Linked DNA regions of Ovis aries. The protein of the gene in region 1 interacts with the protein of each later gene in a biochemical or structural test. Links are inferred from orthologs where the notes say so. Each region holds a gene or a part of one and is shown in the gene's direction. Other genes may lie near its edges. The genes, in order: KLHL12, FBXL17, DRD4, PDCD6 and LNPK.

What was found.
Region 2: the proteins of KLHL12 (region 1) and FBXL17 form a complex in vitro, tested with the Homo sapiens proteins (3 studies listed by BioGRID, with this or other methods). The link is inferred for Ovis aries from reciprocal best matches to the Homo sapiens genes KLHL12 and FBXL17.
Region 3: of the proteins of KLHL12 (region 1) and DRD4, one has a biochemical effect on the other in vitro, tested with the Homo sapiens proteins (2 studies listed by BioGRID, with this or other methods). The link is inferred for Ovis aries from reciprocal best matches to the Homo sapiens genes KLHL12 and DRD4.
Region 4: the proteins of KLHL12 (region 1) and PDCD6 form a complex in vitro, tested with the Homo sapiens proteins (2 studies listed by BioGRID). The link is inferred for Ovis aries from reciprocal best matches to the Homo sapiens genes KLHL12 and PDCD6.
Region 5: the proteins of KLHL12 (region 1) and LNPK form a complex in vitro, tested with the Homo sapiens proteins (2 studies listed by BioGRID, with this or other methods). The link is inferred for Ovis aries from reciprocal best matches to the Homo sapiens genes KLHL12 and LNPK.

What each region holds. Positions count from the first base shown.
Region 1 is NC_056065.1:79,290,576-79,294,501, forward strand, and holds part of KLHL12 (kelch-like protein 12), read left to right. Parts: intron 1-205; exon of another isoform or gene 206-345; intron 346-2,798; coding exon 2,799-2,952; intron 2,953-3,926. UniProt on the Homo sapiens protein: Substrate-specific adapter of a BCR (BTB-CUL3-RBX1) E3 ubiquitin ligase complex that acts as a negative regulator of Wnt signaling pathway and ER-Golgi transport.
Region 2 is NC_056058.1:104,988,171-104,992,604, reverse strand, and holds the start of FBXL17 (F-box/LRR-repeat protein 17), read left to right. Parts: upstream 1-1,423; 5' UTR 1,424-1,741; coding exon 1,742-2,647; intron 2,648-2,761; exon of another isoform or gene 2,762-2,858; intron 2,859-3,013; exon of another isoform or gene 3,014-3,220; intron 3,221-4,434. UniProt on the Homo sapiens protein: Substrate-recognition component of the SCF(FBXL17) E3 ubiquitin ligase complex, a key component of a quality control pathway required to ensure functional dimerization of BTB domain-containing proteins (dimerization quality control, DQC).
Region 3 is NC_056074.1:47,050,239-47,054,670, reverse strand, and holds the start of DRD4 (D(4) dopamine receptor), read left to right. Parts: upstream 1-1,308; 5' UTR 1,309-1,343; coding exon 1,344-1,613; intron 1,614-3,048; coding exon 3,049-3,161; intron 3,162-3,264; coding exon 3,265-3,785; intron 3,786-3,873; coding exon 3,874-4,076; 3' UTR 4,077-4,432. UniProt on the Homo sapiens protein: Dopamine receptor responsible for neuronal signaling in the mesolimbic system of the brain, an area of the brain that regulates emotion and complex behavior.
Region 4 is NC_056069.1:71,838,800-71,843,417, reverse strand, and holds the start of PDCD6 (programmed cell death protein 6), read left to right. Parts: upstream 1-1,513; 5' UTR 1,514-1,573; coding exon 1,574-1,668; intron 1,669-2,422; coding exon 2,423-2,484; intron 2,485-3,075; exon of another isoform or gene 3,076-3,134; intron 3,135-4,618. UniProt on the Homo sapiens protein: Calcium sensor that plays a key role in processes such as endoplasmic reticulum (ER)-Golgi vesicular transport, endosomal biogenesis or membrane repair.
Region 5 is NC_056055.1:134,219,087-134,222,960, forward strand, and holds the end of LNPK (endoplasmic reticulum junction formation protein lunapark), read left to right. Parts: intron 1-962; coding exon 963-1,198; 3' UTR 1,199-3,260; downstream 3,261-3,874. UniProt on the Homo sapiens protein: Endoplasmic reticulum (ER)-shaping membrane protein that plays a role in determining ER morphology. Involved in the stabilization of nascent three-way ER tubular junctions within the ER network.

The sequences.
Region 1 (3,926 bases):
GCCATTTGACTGTGCGTTAGTTTCCTCATCTCAGAATGAGGAATGATGGTAGTACACCATTTCACATGGTGTTGTGGCAGTTACCTGAGGAACTTACATGTGACGTGCTTAGAACAGTGTCCAGCATGTAGCAAACACAGATGTCAGCTATCGGATTTTACTTACCAGTGTTTTAATTTGTTTTCCTGTTTTGTTTCTTCTAAAGTGTAACATTGTGAAGACCAGGGAAGAGGGAGGCGGGAAGGAAAGAGGAGCGAGAGTCCGTCCTCACCCCACTCCCTCCTGCAGTGTGTGAGGAGAAGCAGCCTTCCTCCTCCTCCCAGGGGGCTGTTAGTGCAGTCTCAGGTGGGTGGCGGAGGACTGGTGCCTGGCTGTGTGGGCACACGAAACATCGCCAGAAAGATGCCAACTTGGGAGCACAAGCCCTTAACCAGGGAATTGGGGACAGGCTGGCCTGGCAAAAAAAACATGGTGCTCGCGAAGTGTTAGGGAAAAGACTGCCGTAGTGATTGCCTGGCAAGACACGCAGCGTGTGGAGGAGCTGCTGAGTCATGAGGGGCTCGGAAAGCTGAGCAGAGGAGAGCGCTCCCAGCTTCCAGGATTGCAAGTCTGATTTTTTTATTTTAAATAAATTGTCTCGAGTATGTTGTTTATCTGTGCTTGTACATAAACCTGACATCCTTCGTCATGGTAATCATGTTATAACGAAGGTCACCGGCCTGTGGGCCAGATGCTGTGTTAGACGATTGCCTGTCCCACTCACCCCAGGGATGGTTGTTACCATCTCATTTTACAAGTGAAGAAATAAGGTCTCAGATACGAAATGCCATACAGCTTGTAAATGGTAGAGAGGATTTAATCCTAAATTAACTTAACTTGGTTTGCCATTCCCTTCTCCAGGAACTTAACTTGACTCTAATTGTGATGTTTCCATCGTAAAGCCAGAGCCGTGTGAGATGCCGAGCCAGTGCTCAGCCACAGGGCTGGCGGGGAGAATGTGGAAGCCTGACCATTTGCAGGTCCTCCTGGGCTGCTGCGAGTGGCATTGTTCTTTATTACTTTTTTATGACTGAGTAATATTCCACTTGTGTGTGTCTGTGTGTGTCCCCCACGTATACACCACATCTTTATTCATCCGCTGATGGACGTGGAGGTTGCTTCCGTTGCTTCCGTGTCTTGGCTGTTCTAAGTAGTGCTGCTCTGAACACTGGAGTGCATGAATGTTTTCAAATTAAAGGTTTCATCTTTTTTGGAAATATGCTCAGGAGCAGTATTTCTGAATCATGTGGGACTCCTATTTGTAGTCTTTTAAGAATCTCCAGACTGGTCTCTATACCCTTGAATTTGTTTTTAACACTAAATGATTTAACCAGGAGGGTCCAGAGACCTGGATTTTAGGTTCAGTTCTCTTAGAAATTCTGTGTGAACCCTAGCGACCATCTCACCTCACTAGGTTGTCTGCAGCACAGAACGATTAAGCTTGCTGGTGTCTCCCTTCTCTCCCAGCTCTAGGTTTCCCCATAAATGCGGCGCCACTGAAGTAGCACCGGCTGGGGCAGGAGGCCTGGCTTCAGTCTGTCTCTTTCTATTAATAGTGAAGACCTAGGCTAAGTCACGTTGTTTCTCTGAAGCTCAGACCCTTCGTGTGTTAAATGGCAGTGGCTTCAGACCTAACTGCCTTACCAGGCTGCTGTGGCCATCAGGTGAACTGATAGTAAATGAGAGGCACTCTGAAAAATTGTAAAGCGAGTATTAATGTGAAATACTGCAGTTGCTGTAAGTTCTTAGATAATAAACTCATTTATGTATTTAAACTATTAGGCTAATGGGAATATAGGTTACTGACTAAGAAACTCCTGACATGAATGTACTTATATATTTCGGTTCGTAAAGACTTTACAGTTAGTAAAATGGTTTTCCAAAATAATGTACTGATGACATTTTCTGGTTTCTGGGATTTATTTTATTCTTGGCTTTGTTAGAGAATACTTTTTGATGATTCTGGACTGATGAAGGAATCAAAGTTGATCAAGATGTTTAGTTTCTAACAGACACACACTGGAGTTTTGTAAGTAATCGTAATTTCTAACCTAAGATCTAGTAAAACATTCATAAGGTGACCCATTTTCAGATGGTTACTGTCCTGTGAAGCTGAAGATTTCCACCCTTAGACAAACCGTTTTCTATGCGTGTCTGGCCTCAATTATACTCATAACCCCAAGGATATAGTCTAGACTAAATGTACCACCAATAATTCAGTAATCCCGAAAGAGAATCAACCCAGTATTTGAGGAAGTATCAGACAATCCAGTTGTCTTCAGTGGTACAGTGGTACAGTGGTACAGTGGTACACCCTGAAGGTGGCCAGTGCAGCCTCAGGACAGGTGGGACAGTGCTGGCTCATTTTGGAGGGTCTGCAGCCGGAACTCAGCGAAGTTCATGTTTCCTCTGAAAAGCCCATGGACGCTAGTGGCATGCTCATGGAACTTTTGGTTCTATTCCGTGTCTGCATTTGTTTTAATAAGAGAGCAGCATATTAAATTATTCACAAGTAAAATTGATATTCTCAGAAGGTGTCACCTCTGTGTGCTCTTGGGTTGCACATAGCTCCCCCCATTTGAAAAGCTGCAAATATATGCTGTATTTGCTTTGCATAGATCAAAAGAGACGACCTTTTTTTGTTAAAGACGTGTATGCAGTTAATATTGTTAACATCCCTTCAAGGACCCGGATACGAGCCTCTGCCTTAACCTTGTGGAATTGCAACCACCGTGATCTCACGCCCTTTTCACTTTCAGCTCTCAGAGAAGGGGAAGCCGTATGTAGATATTCAGGGTTTAACTGCCTCCACCATGGAAATCCTGCTGGACTTTGTGTACACGGAGACCGTGCACGTGACTGTGGAGAACGTCCAGGAGCTGCTGCCCGCGGCCTGCCTGCTCCAGCTGAAAGGTACAGCTGCGGAGGCGTGCACCCACAGTGGCCCACGGACGGGCCAGGTCGCGGGAGTGAGGGGCACGATGGGCCTCAGGGTTAATGTCCATGGCTGAGAAGCTGAGGCTTCAGTCGCAGAGTAGAAGACCCTCCAGGTGTGCTCTCTGGCTCTTTAGTAAAGAGGGCACGTGCTTTCTGTTTGTGAAAATATGCAGGAGGGGCCAGTAGAGGCCTTTCCTTCCGTCTGTGTGCACAGCCGTCCTGTGGGGGTCATGAGACACAAGTCATTGCCTCCATGGAAGGGAGCTCCCGCAGGTGCCTGGGTGGGTAAGGGGGCTGGGGGCCACTCACATGGGCCCTTTAACCTTCTGAACCATAGAAACTATCTATTGAACATGTAGGTTGACCCACAAGAGTGAAAGTGTAAGGTTTCCACAGCACTGGAGACGGTTCCCCTTCCAGGTGCCGATCTGCGCTAACCTCCAGATCTGTTTCTGATAGTTTTCAGAACATGACTGGAGGAGTGCGAGGCCTTTGCGTTAGTGCCAGCTCTAAACGAACGTTACACTCAGAGCTTTTCAGTTGGACAGATAGGAGAGTGCCTCCAGCCCCTCCTGTCTGTCCTCCTTTGGCATCTTTCAGTAAGTCCTCGTGTGGAGCAGGGATTAGGTGGATTGTGCTCAGTGACACTTGGTTCTGTAGCGTGACGCCCAGGAGTTTTACAGGCATGTCTTTGTGATTGTGGCGGTGTCCATGAACACAGTCCGTCCTGCTGCACTTGTTTCAAGGCTGCAGCACACATTTGTAAAGGCTTTGCTGAAGGCTGCATAGCACGTAAGATGGAAATAGGATTTGGATTCCCAAAGAATGAAATTTCTAAACTGATTCTTAGGCATTGAGCCAGGGTCCCTCTGATCCCACTCGGAGAGGTTGTGACCCAGGGACTGAGGCCTGTCCTGCCAAGTGTCCTCAGGACCCCTGTCTGTGTCTGT
Region 2 (4,434 bases), on another chromosome or scaffold:
CTGAAAAAGTGAAAAAGTTGGCTTAAAACTCAACTAAGAAAGAAAACTAAGATCATGGCATCTGGTCCCATCACTTTATGGCAAACAGATGGGGAAACAGCAGGAACAGTGACAGACTTTATTTTGGGGGGCTCCAAAATCACTGCAGATGGTGACTGTAGCCATGAAATTAAAAGACATTTGCTCCTTTGAAGAAAAGCTATGACCAACCTAGACAGCATATTAAAAAACAGAGCCATCACTTTGCCAACAAAGGTCCGTCTAGACAAAGCTATGGTTTTTCCAGTAGTCATGTATGAATGTGCGAGTTGGACCATAAAGAAAGCTGAGCACCGAAGAATTGATGCTTTTGAACTGTGGTGTTGAAGACTCTTGAGAGTCCCTTGGATTGCAAGGAGATCTAACGAGTCAATCCTAAAGGAAATCAGTCCTGAATATTCATCGGAAGGACTGGTGTTGAAGCTGAAAGTCTAATACTTTGGCCACCTGAGTGAAGAAGTGACTCACTGGAAAATAACCTGATGCTGGGAAAGACTGAAGGTGGGAGGAGAAGGGGACGACAGAGGATGAGATGGTTGGATGGCATCACCGACTCAATGGACATGGGTTTAGGTGAACTCGGGGAGCTGGTGATGGACAGGGAGGCCTGGTGTGCTGCGGTTTATGCGGTCGCAAAGAGTCGGACACGACTGAGCGACTGAATTGAAATTACCTGATAAGTGCGTTTATCCTGAAATGCACTTAGGGAAAGCCGGTCCGTCCCTAGCAACAGGTGTCCGCAGACAAGCGCAGAAACACGGCAGAGCCGGTCCACCCGTGAGTCCCTCGCGGGAGAACCATTCTCGCGGAGAGCACGCCGGGCACCCGGGCTGGCCTCGGGCGGGACCGGGTCTCCTCAGCGGCCTCGGCGTCCGGTCGGGCGGTGAGAGCGCCGGTTCCCGGCCAATGGCGGTTCCCGAACGTGCGCCTAGCGACGTCAGCGCGACTGTGCCCACGGACGTCACCCGACGAGCTCGGAGGCGGCTCCCCCCGGTCCCACGAAGGGGGCGTGGGCTCCGGGAGACCGCGGGCGACGGGGACAGGGGGCGGTGAGCCCGCACCCGTGACGGCGGGCCCGGCCGAGCGGCCCTCAGGGGGCGAGCGGCCACGCGCGCCGCCGAGGCCCCGCCCCCTTCCCGATCGGCCACACCCCCTTCCCGAGCGGGCCGCGCGCTCCCGAGCCGCCCCCCCGCCGCTGAGGCCCCGCTCCCTCCCCGATCCGGCCGCGCGCTCCCGCTTCGCCTCCCCGCACGCGCCTCCGCCGCGGCCCCGCCCCTTCCCGCTCGGGCCGCGCGCTCCCGCTCCGCCTCCCCGCGCGCGCCTCCGCCGCGGCCCCGCCCCCTTCCCGCTCGGGCCGCGCGCTCCCGGCGCGCCGAGCTGTGCCGCGGGCGCGCGCGCCGCCGCCGGCAGAGCCGCCGTTAAAGTGGTCTGAGGCGCGCCCCGCGCTTCCCCCGCCGCCGCCCTGACCAACTGAGGCGGCGGCCCAGGCTGCGAGCAGCCGCGCGGTCAGCAGGCTCGCCGGCCTCCGTCGGGTCCCAAGAGCTCGCGCCCCGCCGTGGTCTCCCGGCGTCCCGGGGCAGAGCATGTAGCCCCCCAGCGCCGCGTGTGTGCCCGTGTGTGTGTGTGCCCGCGTGTGCCCGCGGGCCCGAGGCCGACCCCCGCGCGGCCTGCCCTGACCCGGCCCCTGCGCGGGGCCTCCCCTATGGGCCTCCTGCTCTCGAAGGAGCCGCGCCGCCGCCCGCGCCAGAAGCGGCCCCGCTGCGGCAGCTGGTGGCGCCGCCGCCGCCGGCCTCTCCTCAGGTGGCCCCGCGGGGCCCCGGCCAAGGCGGCGGCGGCGCCCCGGGGCCGGGACTGCCTCTTCCGCGGGCCCTGCATGCTCTGCCTCGTCGTGCACGGCCCCGGCGCGCCCGCCCCCGCCGGCCCGGAGGAGGAGCCGCCGCTGTCGTCGCCGCGGCCGCTCGGGGCCTACGGCGCGGCCGCCTCCTCACAGCCCCCGGCGCGGCGCCGCGCGGGCCTGGCCGCTGAGGACGCCGCGCGCCGCCTTCTGCTCTCGGCCGCCGCCGCCGTCGCCGCGCCGCCCGCCCCCGGCCGCGGGGAGCTGGGGCCGGCCGCCGCCGCCGCCCGGGAGCGGCCGGCCCGGAGCCTCCTGTGGGCCCGCGCGGGGCCCGTGCGTCCGCCCGCGCCGCCCGCCGCCTCGCGGCTCTTCCGGGCGCCGCCGGCCGAGCCCCCTGCGCCCCCCGAGATGGTGTGCAAGCGGAAGGGGGCCGGGGTCCCCGCCTGCACCCCCTGTAAGCAGCCCCGCTGCGGCGGGGGCGCCTGCGGCGGAGGCGGCGGCGGCGGCGGGCCTGCGGGCGGCGGCCCCGAGCAGCACCCCCCGCCGCCGCTCCGCGCCCCGCGCTCCCCCGCCGCTCCGGGAGGGGCCCCCGCGGAGGCCGGCGGGGACGCGGTCCGAGCGGGGGGCGCCGCCCCCTCGGTCGCCCGGCAGCAGCAGCACGAGTGCGGCGACGCCGACTGTCCGGAGGGCCCCGATCCGCCGTGCGACTGCCACAGGGAGCCGCCCCCCGACGCCCCGGACATCAACCAGCTGCCGCCCTCCATCCTGCTTAAGGTGGGTCTGCGTGCCCCCCACCCCCCGCCGGGCCCGCTCGGGGGTTCTCTCTGCTGCACGCCCCGCGGGGGGGCCTCCCTGACACCCGGTTATTTCAGGTGCAGGGGCTTGGAGTCCGCTGAAGGTCCTTTTAATCGCTTGGGTCTGCTGCGCGTAATCCCGGTTCACCTAGGAGAGTCCCAAGCCCACTGTTGTAGAAACTGTAGGTTTTCTGTGAAAAAAAAAAAGAAAAAAAAAATTTTTTTTTTTTTAATCCCTTGAGCGGTTTGCACTTAACCGAGTAAAGACTTGTATATTAGTGTTGGAAAGTGTTCAGACAGTAATTTCAGATTTGATAACTGCTAGCTGATGTCAAAAAACAGTTACCTTTTATCTATCGAGCACTTGACCACGATGATCAGGCACAGTGCCAGAGCTTTATATACATAATATCTCACCGAATCCTTCAGTTGACGCCATGAAAGAAATATTGTTAACATCTTTACACAAGAAGAAACCGATGTATCAGCGCAAGTGCCTACAGTCGAAAGTCAGGCCGACGTGGTGTGTGTTCCTGTGGAGCTTACAGGCCAGCGGTGCTTCAAGGGGCTGAATGACTTGCCCAAGGTCACACACAGACAGATCTGCGGAGTTTAGGCCTGTCTGACTTGAAAACCCTTTTATTTATGCTATGTTCTATTATCTTAGGTAATGCAGACAGATTACCAGACGGTAAGGACAAGTGTATTTTTTGTTGGGGGGATACGTGTGTGGGGAAGAGGTAGATATCCCGTGGAAACCTGGTCCCACTTTCAGCTACCAAGTAAAATTTGCAGTTTTGTCAAGCAGCAGCAGCAGTGATGAATTTAAGTACGTGATACTTTGTAGTAAGTTAGTATTAAAAAGTTTCTTTTCCGTTCATTTTCTCTCCTCTCTCACCCCCACACTGCAGCTTTCTGGAGCTTATAAATATAAACCCCCTTTATCACTGTGGATGATATTTAAGACTAACTAGAAAAACCTAGATAAGAATTTGGCTAGTTTTATTGTTATTGAAGTAGCTGTCATCAATTATAATTTTTATTCTGAACAATATACTTTGATTGGACTTTTTGCATGTTTATAATCCTGTGTGCTTGGATTTGTTTTACTGTGATATTAATATTTTTGTAAATAATATAGCAAAGAACTGGGAAAGCTTAACTTTTCCACATGTCCAAGAGGATGAGATGGTTGGATGGCATCACCGACTCAATGGACTTGAGTCTGAGTGAACTCCGGTAGTTGGTGATGGACAGGGAGGCCTGGCGTGCTGTGGTTCATGGGGTCACAGAGTCAGACACGACTGAGCAACTGAACTGAAGTTGTTTACCTTTCAGTAGTGTATTTTTGAAGGAGTAATTACTGCCTCTGTATGTTCAGGCTGTGCATTTTAGGGCAGAGGGAATGTTCTTGAATCTTTTAACTTAGTGGACAACATGGACAAATGAAATATCCACAGATATTTGGCATAGAGGTTTGATTGCTGTCTTGTTATTTGGTAAGTAAGACTGTTTAAAAACAAAGTAAAAAGCAGATACTTCCCACTTTCTACCTAAACTGTCATTATTTCATGAGGTAGAGGACATTTTAATACAAAAACAAAAATAAAAGAAAGGAGGAAGGACATGATTTCATAATAAAGAGAGTTCCAATACAATCAGTTTATTTGCAACATTGTTCTTTTCCACATTTTTGCTAAGGACTGTCGAAAACTTGTTCTAAGGAACATTTGGGGAAATTATTCATTGGACTTCCCCTGTTGTGTT
Region 3 (4,432 bases), on another chromosome or scaffold:
GTCCAGGAGGGAGAATCAACGCTGATCAGAGGCTGGGCTGGCCTCACTGCTTGGCACCCAACCCAAGGTCACGGAGCCAGCCCTGCCTTGGATTTTCATCTTGTGAGAAAAGTCGCTAGGATTGTGAGTTCTCTTGCTGAAGCCTTCAGGAGGGGCAGGAGCCTGCCTGTCCCTTTCCTGATCCACATGAGCAGGACGGAGGTGCTGGATGCAGCGTGGTGCCCATTCACATCGAGTCTTGCACATGCACTTCCTTTATCAGGCCTCCTGTGGCTGTGCCCCTTGTGAGTACCATCACGGTGTGTCTCTCCAGGGTCTTTGTCTTCTCTTTAACACACACAGGGAGCCCGTGTGTAGGGCGTGCAGGTTGAGAGGGATCTCCTTTGGGGCTTCTTTTCTCTGTGAGGACGTGACTCAGGTAAGATGCGTCTAATGAGTGCGAAGAACTCTGGCGGCTGCTAAGCTCCCAGTGGCCTTCTCCTGGCCTTGGCTGCCGTTACAGCCTCTAGGCTTTGTGGGGTGAGCTCATTTTACCAGGCTCAGACGGGCACACAGCTTGCTCAGGGTGATGGAGCCAGGATCAGGGTTGCCCACCCAACTGCTGGGGTAGGATGAAGGGTCAGGCAGTGGCTGTGGGGTGGAGAGTGGCTGAGTGTGGTCCAGGCTGGGGGAGAGGCTGCTCTGGGGAGTCGGGTGCAGGAACCCAGGTTGGGGTCTGCAGTCGTTGCAGGGGGAGATGAAGGGGCCAGAGAGGCCGGGTCAGGTGGGGGTGTGGAGAGAGGAGTGTGCCCGGAGGGAAGGAGGGGGAGCCTGGACTGGGGCGTGCTGGTGTCTGGTGGAAGCAGCCTGGGAAGGATGGCCCCCATGCGGCTCCATCTTTGCCTCAGGGGTCTGCAGAAGCATCTCTGGAGGGGGGCGCCCAGCCTGGGCCCATGCAGGGTTGCGGCGGTCTCCGAGGCTGGACCTGGTGGCGCTGGCGTGGGTGCCCGCAAGTCTCGAGGGATGGTTGGGCCGCCCTTTCATCCCGTGGGTTTTTCTGGGCGCTGACCCTCGCGTCGTCCCGCAACCCTGCGTGGCAGAGAGCGATGCTGGACCCGCCCAGGCCAATCACATCTCTTCACTGGGCCGGCGCTGGGCCGTGGCGTTTGTCCATCTGCCCGGCCCTAGGGGCGAAGTCCAAGATGGGCCAAAACTGGGTGCAGCTTGGAGCGCCCTGGGGTCCGCGGAACCGGGCGGCCGGGGCGGGACTAAGGCCGGGCTGGGCGGGCCTAGGGGCGGGGCCCCAGCGCGGCCGGGACTGTCCGTGGTGCTGAGCGCCCGGCGGGGCGCGCCGGCCGGGCGCCATGGGGAACCGCAGCGCCGCAGACGCGGACGGGCTGCTGGCGGAGCGCGCGCCCGGCACGGGCGTCGGCGCCGGGGGCCCCGGGGCGGCGGCGGCGCTGGTGGGGGGCGTGCTGCTCATCGGCGCGGTGCTCGCGGGGAACTCGCTCGTGTGCATGAGCGTGGCGGCCGAGCGGTCCCTGCAGACGCCCACTAACTACTTCATCGTGAGTCTGGCGGCCGCCGACCTGCTCCTCGCCCTGCTGGTGCTGCCCCTCTTCGTCTACTCCGAGGTGAGCCCGCGTCGCCCCCGCACGCACACCCTCACCCGCTCCGGATCCCCTGTCCCGTCCACACGGAGGACCGAGCCCGACCCCGCCGCTTGGCTTCTCAGGATCCTGGAGCTGGGCGCTGCGCAGGTCCCAGGACGACCGGAGCCGGGTCCCCTATGAACCTCGCTCCCCTCCCCCATCCCGCTGTCCGTCAGCCCTCCCGCTCTGTCCCTCTCTCCGCGTCGCCTTCTATGTCAGTTACCCAAGAGATGCTTCTGTTCTTCAAGCACAGACCCCAGTAAGAGATGGCTTTGGGAGTCCAGACAGCCCCCTCCCAGCCCCCTCCGCTGGGTTCCAGTCCCCCCAGGGGAGCCAGCTGGCTAGACTGGCAGAGGCAGGCTTACACCACACCGGCTCCCCTGGGGCAGAGACACAGAGGTCACCCCACGAGGCCACAGCCACACAGGACCACGCGTCACTCGTGTGCACGACCCGGGCAGGGCACCCTCACTCCTGCGCTGACGTGGCTCACAGCAGGAGGGACCCTTCTTGGAGGTGCAGGGCACGCCCACTCGGGCTGGGGAAGGGCCTTTGCCAGAACCTGGGTCCGGGAACCGCCACACCCAGGTCAGGTCCTGGCCCTCGGGTGGGTCCCCCTTGGTGTCAGCCATGTCCACTCTGCAGTTTGGGCAGAGAAAAGCTGCTTAGGCTGGGTTGGGGACGCGGTGTCCCGGGCTGTGGGGGGAGGGGAGGCATGGTTTTCTAAGGTGGAGGGTGAGTCCAGGCAGGGCTGGGCAGAGAGGCCAGCAGGACAAGGACGGGCATGACCTACTGCCCCCCCACCCGAGCTGTAGACAGACGTCACAGTGACGGCTCTTAAGCTCCTAATCGTCCCAAATCAGCAGGAGGAGATTTAGAAGGGGCGGCTGTCTGCTCCTTTGCCCTTGGTGGGGGCGCTGGGCACAGGGGCCGAGACTACTACTTCCTAACAATGATGTGGACGCTACCGTTGCCCTCACTTCAGGCGTGCAGGGCCGAGAGTGGGATGACCTGTCCAGAGTCCCAGAGGCAGAGTTTCAGCAGACAGGCCAACTGCGCGGTCTGCTGGAGAAGGGGGTGGGTGCTGGGCTCCCGCTCTAGGGCAGCAAGGCCCCCACCGGCAGGGAGGGGCCCCGCGCACCCTGAGCATCAGGGATCACAGCCCGCCGTTGCCTACGCCGCCCGAAACCCGCTCCAATCCGAAGGCGTTTCCCGGTTCTAACAGGAAGGTGGGAGGTCTCTCTCAGGCGCCCGGCCTGAGGGGAGGGGAGGACCGCCCTGCTTTCCGGGGAGCGACTCCTCCGTTATTCAGCCCCCTCGCTGCCCGCAGCAGCGGGGGTCAGGAAGACATCTCGGGGGCGGGGCGGGAGGTCAGCTTCCCGCGACTACCGTTGCCGCGGCTCCTCCCCGTGCTCAGGTGCAGGGCGGCGTGTGGCTGCTGAGCCCCGGCCTCTGCGACGCGCTCATGGCCATGGACGTCATGCTGTGCACGGCCTCCATATTCAACCTGTGCGCCATCAGCGTGGACAGGTAAGCCGCCCCGCCGCCCTCCCCGCGCTCCCCGCGGGTTCGTGGCCGTGGGCGCGCCCCGTCGGGCCGCCCCGCCCCGCCGCCCTCACCGCGCTCCCCGCAGGTTCGTGGCCGTGGCCGTGCCCCTGCGCTACAACCGCCAGAGCCGCGGCGGCCGGCAGCTGCTGCTCATCGGCGCCACGTGGCTGCTGTCGGCGGCGGTGGCGGCGCCCGTGCTGTGCGGCCTCAACGACGCGCGCGGCCGCGACCCCTCCGTGTGCCGCCTGGAGGACCGCGACTACGTGGTGTACTCGTCCGTGTGCTCCTTCTTCCTGCCCTGCCCGCTCATGCTGCTGCTCTACTGGGCCACGTTCCGCGGCCTGCGGCGCTGGGAGGCGGCGCGCCGCGCCAAGCTGCACGGCCGTGCGCCCCGCCGGCCCAGCGGCCCCGGGCCGCCCGCGCCGGACGCCAGCCCGGCCGCCGCCGCCGCCCCCGGCCCGACCCCCGACGCCGCCCCCGCCCCGGACGCCGTCGCGCCCCCCGACGCCGTTGCGGCCGAACCCTCGCCTCAGGCCCGCAGGAGGAGACGTGCCAAGATCACAGGCCGGGAGCGCAAAGCTATGAGGGTCCTGCCCGTGGTGGTCGGTGGGTACCGGCCCCGGGGGGCGCGGCGGAGGGGGCACGGTGCCCAGGGTGGGGGGCGTGGCCGTGACCCCGCCCGCCCCGCCCCCAGGGGCCTTCCTGCTCTGCTGGACGCCCTTCTTCGTGGTGCACATCACGCGGGCGCTGTGTCCCGCGTGCGCCGTGTCGCCGCGGCTGGTCAGCGCGGTCACCTGGCTGGGATACGTCAACAGCGCCCTGAACCCCGTCATCTACACCGTCTTCAACGCCGAGTTCCGCACCGTCTTTCGCAAGGCTCTGCGCCTCTGCTGCTGACAGAGCGCCGCGCGGCCTCGCCCGGCCGGACCGCCTCGCCTGGGGCTTTGTAGGAGTAATTAAACAGATCCCGGTCACCTGCTGGGAAGGCTTTGGTGGAGGCGAGGAGGAGGCATCCCCACTGGCCCCATCTGGCCAGTTAACCCTTTCCCTCCTTCGAGGAAGGTCCTGGCTGAGCCCTGGGCTGAGCAGCGGGGCATCAGGAAGGTGCATGCTGGGGACGGGCGCCTGCGACCTGGGAGGGCTGCCTGGGCTCACACCCTCCCGCACACACTCCACCCGACTCTGCTCCCGGGCCAGCGGCCGCCTCCCTTGTCCTGGTGGCCCGTCCACCAGCCCTGCCCCCACTTTGGCAG
Region 4 (4,618 bases), on another chromosome or scaffold:
TGTTCTAGAGAAAAATGAGCCAGAGGTGGGAGACAGAATAAACAAGTTTCAGAAACTACAGATCAAAGAGCTGTGGAAAACTGTAGAAAGGATTAGTCAGCAAGTGATGTGAATGCTTTCAGTTTAGTTCAGTCGCTCAGTCATGTCCGACTCTGCGACCCCATGAATCGCAGCAAGCCAGGCCTCCCTGTCCATCACCAATTCCCGGAGTTCACTCAGATTCACGTCCATCGAGTCAGTGAATGCTTTAGGAGGATAAAACTAGAAAGCACTTGAATTCATTAAGTCATGAAAAAAGCCACATTGTTGAGGTTTGTAGAGTAATAATCTGTGTGAGTGCCCAAATCAGAATACTTTAATCTCTTTGAAGAGTTTAAAGAACTCTCCAGCATATGGTCTGGTGGTTAAAGGGGGCTGAGGACAATACAATTGGAGACTAACAACAGGTCAGATGCAGAGCCCTGGAAAATGAAAGTGGAGGTCGCTCAGCCGTGTCCAGCTCTTTGGGACCCCGTGGGCTATCCAGTCCATGGAATTCTCCAGGCCAGAATACTGGAGTGGGTAGCCTTTTCCTTCTCCGGGGGATCTTCCTAACCCAGGGATCAAACCCAGGCCTCTCTCATTGCAGGCGGATTCTTTACTAGCTGAGCTACAAGGGAAGCTCAAGAATACTGGAGTGGGTAGCCTATCCCTTCTCCAGCAGGTCTTCGGGACCCAGGAATCGAACCAGGGTCTTCTGCAGAGCTTTGGAGTGCTGAATAATGAAATCCCTTCAGGAAAGGAAGGATCAGGGGCTTCCCTGGTGCTCGGCCCTTCCACAAGCTAAGCAGGGGAGGAAGATGAACCAAGTCAGCGGGATTGCATCAGCAGCTCAACACTTTTGCGAGCCTGGAAGGCGGTGGGAGAGCCCTGAAGCTGGGCTTCCCTGCGCAGAGGGCGCTGCGGCTCAGTCGAAGTCCGGACGGAGGCGGTGGCGTCTTCAGCTGGCCGGAGGGACACGCTGGCCGCCCACCACGGTCAGCAGGGGACATCAGGGCCTGGTCACGCACGTGCAGACCGAGCTGGGGAGCTCCAGGCCCTGTCAGACGCCGGAGGGGGCGTCGTGTGGTACCGAGAAGAAAGCGGGTGTGGGGAAGGAACGCAGAGAAGCGGGGCAGGGGCCGGGCGAGGAGTCCGGAAAGCACAGGAGTCTGGCGCGTCCTCCGCTCCATCACCGCCCTTCCATGGCCTTCATTTGGTGCAAGGACAGTCCATGCTCGAAGGAACTGCCCCCGCCCTTCACGTCCACTCTGTGCCTCGGGAGAAGCAGCTCCCACGCGCGTCCGTGATCCTGGAGGCCGCGTGGCCTCGGCCAGCGGCTCCGAGCCTCTCGCTGGACCCTGACACGCTGGCCGGACGCGGGGGCGTTGCCTGGCAACGGGGCAGCGACGGGATTGGCCGCGCTCGCTCCCGTGACCGCCCCGGAAGTGGCGCGCCCGGCCTCGCCCTCGCCGAGGCGGAAGTGGAGCCACCTGACGCCGCCCGCTTCCCGGCCGCCCCTCAGCCGCACCTCCGCCCTGCTGCGCCTCGGCCCATGGCCAACTACCCGTACCGCCCGGGCCCCGGCGCCGGCCCTGCCGGGGGCGCCGCGCTGCCGGACCAGAGCTTCCTGTGGAACGTCTTCCAGAGGTGCGGCCAGCCGGGCGGGCGGGCGGGCGCGGGCAGGCCTCCCCTTCCCTCGGTGTCAGCCCCGGGCCTTCCCCGTCCTGCCCCTCCGCCCGCAGTCCAGCCTCCCTCCTGGAGCCCTGGCCCCCCGGCCTGCTCCGTCCCCCGAGCTTTGACCTCCTCTCCGCCCCCGGGCACTTCCGGAGCGCAGAGCGGCCGCCCGGAGGCTCGGCCTCCGTCCTTCTACCCCCAGAGAGGGGCCTTTGCTCGGGGACGAGGGTCTCCCGGGGACGCTTATTCAGTTAGGGGAGCAGAAACGCGGGCTCGCCGTGGCTGCCTCAGCCACCAGGCGGGAAGCCAGGCCCTGGCTGTGCGCAGGGGACCGTCACCGCAGTGTCTTCGGTACCCGGTCGTCCTTCCAGCGAATCGGCGCCCCATGCTAGAGTGATTCAAGGTCAGGGAGTGACTTAGTTGTCTAAGAGAACCTTTTCCTGTTTGTGAAAAGGACAAGATCTGAATGGCATTCAGACAGGGTGTGGGAGAAAGGCTTAAGAGAAACGGAGAAGCAGCTTGGCCTTCAGCAGGGGGACCTCAGACAGTGAAGGAGACAGGCTTGCTTATTCCCCACCCGACTATGGGAGTGAGATAGTCTAGCAGCCAGAGGGAAAAGAGCAGGGAAATTAATTTAGGATTGACAGGAGAGTTAAACCTTGGTTCTGGTCCTGTGTTGCTTTGCCTGCACTTTGAATCACCAGTTTAACTGATCTTAATTTTGTAGGGTTGATAAGGACAGGAGTGGTGTGATATCTGACAACGAGCTTCAGCAAGCACTGTCCAATGGTGAGTGCACCTGGCCGTCTGGACTTGTGAACTGCCCGCCTGACCACCCATAGTGAACATCTTCTTTCCTAATCCCTGGCTTGTGGTGGAGGGCTTCCATCCTGGGCGTCCTGTCGGAGCTGCTCTGGGTCCTTGCGGAGCTGGGTGGGGCAGCTGCATGGAGGTCCCAGGGAAAGCCTGAGAGTTGGAGGCTGGGGTGTGAGCTCCAGGAGCACAGGGAGCCTGGCTTTGTACAGCAGATGGTCCTCCGGTTTATTGAAGGCTGTTGAATTTCTCTGGTGACGGTGTCTTGTGACTTGCGAGGCGGGGCACCAGGGTCCCACTGACGCCGAGGAAGTAACTGGGAATGCCGGTGGCCCTGCAGCCGGGTCTCGGGGCTCAGGCTTTTCAGTGGGTGAGTGCAAGTCATCCAGACAGGGGCAAGAGGGTCCCAGCTCTTTGTGCCAGTTCTGGGGGCACACCTTGGAGTCACCTTTTTGCTGGTCTCAGTGTGATTAATCCATTGACGTGGAGACCTTATTTCAGTGAATACCTGACTGTGTTGCCCTTCTTTTGATTCGTCAGACACCACTGTCTTTTTCTGGTCCTTAGATTTGTGGTGTCTTCCAGAGGGGTGCCATTTAAACCTGAAGAGGGATTGATTTTAAGAGGTAATGACGATGCTGAAAGGCTCACCCTTACCAGCGGGAGCTGGCTGGTGCTGTGGGAGGTGGACGGTGCCTCCCAGGCCTGCGCGTGGACTGGAAGGGAGGTGTGCCCCACTGTGGGTACTCCTCTGCTGCTGTTGGTGAAGGGTTGGTATTAAAATGATCACACAGGTGATACTGTCTCTAGAGGATGTCAGACCTGCCGCCATTTCAGCTGGTTGTTAAAGCAAATGGCTCTGTCGGAACACAGCGTTGAACCAGGAGCCTGCTGGAGACGGAGTGTGTTTAACCCAGCCACTGAGTGTATATCAGGGCCTGCTCTGGTGACCCTGTGGAGTCACATTTCTTGATTTGCCCTGAGGGGTTCCTCGGCTTCTGTTGGGGCTGGGTGAGAGCTTACTGGTAGTCACTGAGCCCAGAGGGAGGTAGGGACTCCCTCCCCCCCCTGCCGTGGCTGCCTCTCTCCTCCCTGGGGGTGTGCTGGTTTTTGTGTGGAGCAGCTTGTGATGGTTGTTTTACCTGTTTTGTGTGTATCTTATAAACTGTGATTTTTTTTTAACCAATCGCATTTTCCTCTTTAAATTAGCTGCTAAAATTTTTAAATTTCTGCCTCACCAGTGCCGCAAGCTGAGAATTTTCAGAGGTGAATTTCACTGATAGTCGGGGACCCCATGCTTTCTTAGGCTTTTGTCCCCCCATCCTGCATAACCAGAGGTTGCTCTGTTTTGCTGTGCTCTGAATATCTTCCTAGATTCAATTAGGCTTTTTCTGCAGGAAGTCTGGTTATGAGTGGGTACCGATCGCTAGTCCTTTCTCAGCCCCAGAACAGAGGTAGGTGGCACACTGGAATCAGGATGTGTGCCCGCATAGCTAGGCACTCCCCCACACCTGGTGCCGTCCCACCCGCCTCCTCCCGTTGGCCACCTGAAGGCACAGGCTGGCTGTGGCTCTGCTCCTCCTGCCAGGGTGCCCACCATTCCTCCGGGGCTGAGCGGCTCCTGTCTCTGCACTCATGGCCCCTCCCTTTTCTTGGGTGCTGCCTGTCTCCTCCTCTCGCTCTGCTGGGGTCGTCTCTGCAGCTGCGTCTGGCTCCTGGGCCTCAGCGTCCTGGAGGAAGTTCGAGCCGGTCTCCTGTTTCCAGTTGTGCTGTGTGTCCCGGCCTCAGTCCCTGAGGATGGACACGAGTCAGTTCTCTTCCTGCTCTTCAAATTCCCAGAGTTGTTAAGATTGGAGTTACTTTGACTTTCAGTTTTCTCCCCGGAATGGACCTCTGTTTTCATATTGCTAAGTTGCTTCAGTTGGATCTGACTCTTTGTGACCCCGTGGACTGCAGCCCGCCAGGCTCCTCTGTCCATGGGATTCTCCAGGCAAGAATACGGGAGAGGGTTGCCGTTTCCTTCTCCAGGGGGTCTTCCCAACCTGCATCTCCTAGGTCTCTTGCATTGGCAGGCAGGTTCTTTACCATTAGTGCCACCTGGAAAGCCTGT
Region 5 (3,874 bases), on another chromosome or scaffold:
GAGTTTGAAAGAAGTAAACTTTCAGGTTAGGAACCAATGCCCTTACTTGGCCTCTGCTAATGGAGACAGAGGCAAAAGACTCTTCCCTTTGGCTCCCTAGCGTTCAAGGTATGTAGCATATTCTGACCCAGAGGTTTAAATCCCAAGAACTTGTCTTGCACAGGGATGACGGAAGACTTGTCTTGACTTTGGAAAAGGTGGATCCAGACCCCCACAGTCATGGATAATAGAGATGTAAATCAGTGTGGGAAATCACACCACCTATACACACATATGCACCCTACAAAGGTACACATTTATACATCGGTCACAGTGTTGCCTGGATGCAAGAGAGACTAGTTCCTTCAGGAAACATAATCTGGGAGTTAGTGCATTTGCTGTTTTTGCTGGGCTGTTGTCTTATAATATATAATTCTATTGGAATTTTTATATATTCAGACATTCAGCTTTCAAATCCATCTTTAGGAAAGTTCTTAAGTATTATGAAAGTTCATTTATTTTGTGAACAATGGGACTTCAGGTAAAATTATGTTTATGGGTATGTTTCCCCCAAATTGATTTTTCCTTCATTCATATCATTTCATATATAGTATGCTATAGGGATAGGCTTCCAAAGTGGCTCAGTGTAAAGAATCTGCCTGCCAATGCAGGAGACATTGGTTTGATCCCCATGTTGGGAATATGCCCTGGAGAAGGGCTTGGCAACCCACTCCAGTATTCTTGCTTGGAAGATCCCGTGAACAGAAGAGCCTGGTGATCTACAGTGCATGGGATCACAAAAGAGTCAACATGACTTAGCGACTGAGTATGCGTGTATGAAGTACTTAAGTACATTAAAAAGATATATTTTAAGGATAATGTTAGACTATTCTTCTGTTTCTTAGTTTCTTTGCACGTGCTTATCTTATTTAGTAGTTATTAACATTGGCTATTCCTAAAGTTTTTACTCTTTATCTTTTCAGAATCTTTAGAAGAACAAGATGTTCTAGATAATAGTACAGAACAGACAGATGACAAAATACCAGATACAGAGCAGACAAACCCAGTGATTGAACAAGCATCTGGCATAGAGGAACCAGAGGAGAAACAAGAAGAGACCGAGAATGAAGAAACCTCAGTGAGTGAAGACAAGTCCACAGTTCCCAGAGCTGATGCTGTTCCTAATCCTGAACTAAGTGGAGAATCTTTGACAATGTAGTAAATGCTTCCATGTGCCTTCAACTGGATATTTGTAGTCTTGCTGATGTCAGTTATTGCTTTTTAAGGTAGTGCTTTCTTTATTTTCGCCCCCTCAAAGACATGCTTGGTATCGTTTGAATTTCAGATTGCCTAGCTATTTCAATTTGTCAAAGTTATGTCTACTGGGTTTTAAAATTAAAAGCAAATGGTGTCAGTAAAGTAAAATCCTTTTGAATGTACAGAAACCCACACTGTTTAGACAATGTTTAGGTATTTTTTTCTGTTCTAAAAGTAAACAAATGTAACAAGTTTTGTTTTCTACTTGTGGCCTGTAAATACATTTGGCATAGGAAGAACCTTGGTTAGGAATAAGTTCTAATAGCGTTTGTTTTAAGGAATGAAACTCAATTAAGATTTTTAATACTTCATTATTAAAATGGATAGAATTTTAACTCTTGTGATATTTGCCGGGGGTAAAATATCTATTTAGGCATTTACATCAAGAGGTATGAAAGTTATTACAGTAACAATATAGGCATTTGTGTGAATTCTTACAGTTGAACAGTCAAGTGCAGTGTTACTTTTGATGTCTCTTATTTTGCAGCTGGGCCAGAGGTACCTGATGTATATAATTAGCTTATGTTTACATATTAACATATAGGAAATATCTCTGCACTTGACTGTACTTGAATTTTGAACATTATTTATATTTGTAAAATAATGCTGACATTATAAATGAATTTTGTGCTCTTATGTGTATTTTGTTAAGGAAAATAAAGATGATCTGGCAGCAGTTTCTTTTTGTTAAATATCTAGACTACTTCAGACAATATCTTGGTAGATGACTTAGGTACCTGAAAAGTCTTAGTAGGAAGAGCTCACAATTCAGTAAATCTATAAATTATGCTGAGAAAGAATTATGATCCTTTATTCAAATTTGTTACCTTTTAAGTTCAGAGAATTAGTGACATTTAGAGTTTCTAATCAGAGGTTAGATTTTTCTGATTCAGGAAAACCTTAGGCCATTTGTAGTTTTTAATTTTGAGAGACATAGTTTTGTGAGAATAGGCAGTTAATTACTAGTAGTTCATTGGATTTAATATGTGTATTAAAGACTAACTGGCAATTTTTTGGACCCAGAATAATAATTCTTGTTGTTATCTTTTCTATCTTCTTTTTATCTATTACTAAGAAAAAACTATCAAGTTATGCCAAAGGAAGGAATATACAGGAATGGTGTATATGGCAAGTATTTCTAAGTTATATATGGTTTGTTAAAAATTAAATAAAATACCATTTGTTATTTAAAAATTCACCTTTATGATTTAATATCTTATATCTGATAGGTTTTTTAAAGGAACACAAATGTGTTAATAGTCTGAGAGTTTTCAAGATTACAGGATTGGGCTTGAATTCTAGCTCTGCAGTCTTGGGCAAGTCACCTGACCTCACTGAGGTCATGTTTTTTCATCTTTAAAATTGGAAGAATGCCTACTTTTTGGAGTATGAGGAAAATAAAAAGTAATTTATGTAGTGGGCCTAGCTGACTGTCTGATAGTAGATATTTATAGTCTTGATATCTTTGTGAAATGTGGAAGGGCTCTGAATTCTCCTTCTTGCAGATAAGGAAATGAAAAAAAAATATGAAATATAATTTGGCCGATCAGAATCAAGCCAAAGTTTTCTGATAGGTTTTCTTTATCATATACATGTATATAAATGCATAGATTAAGGCAATAGGAACCTGAAACTGTGGAATATAATAATACTATAGAATATAGTCTTTTTTTCTTTTTTGCTGAAGCCCATCAGTTTTTTTGGTGTGTGTGTTATTGGCCCATAATATTTGAGTAACACTTTGCTCAGTCTTCTTGTTATAAAACATTCAAATTCTGAAAAATGAGTAATCTCAGAGAAATATAATTTAGTGATAGAATTAAGTAGATATCAGAAGTATCTATGGAAGAAGGTTAAAGTAGGTAAACTAATATAATGGGTAACATGCTGTAATCATGTAGTACCTATTAAAATAAAAAAGTTTCTTCTGATATTATAATAAACAATTAATGGTTGAAGAATGGTATAATGTCCTATTTCTGATTATTAAGACTAGTATAAATGAGGAAAAGCAAACTAATCAGTGCTGTGAGCTAGAGTAACCTTCACTTCCCTACTTACTAATGCTCAGCAGGTCATCATCTAAACTTCTCACTATGCCCTTAGCATAATCTACAAACATGTCTGGCTTTTCTCTCCATCTCTCTTCTACCATTATGCTGTAGTCTTAGGGTGTCTTTTCAATCCTCTAACTAAGCTAAACCCTTTCCCACCTTAGGTCTCAGTTTAAATGTTCTTTCCTCAAGAGAGATGCCCTCCCAAGGTCCATATCTAAGGTTGGTCTCTGCCTTTTACTTGATCCTGTCACTTTTTCTGTTATTATAATCTGTGAGTATTTTATCTGTTTATTAGTTTACTGTATTTCTTCAAGACTTAAGAGTCTTTGTGTGCAAGGTTCTATCTTATTTACCTTTGTATCTCCAGAGCCTGGTACAGTGTTTGACACATTTATTATTTATTATGTGAATGAATAACTTTGTTGCTAAATTCAGCAAAAACTCAGTTCTTACCTTATTCCATTGACACTCTTGGGTGCTCCCTTTAGTTTGAAACACTTTTTCTCATTTGGCTTTTGCCT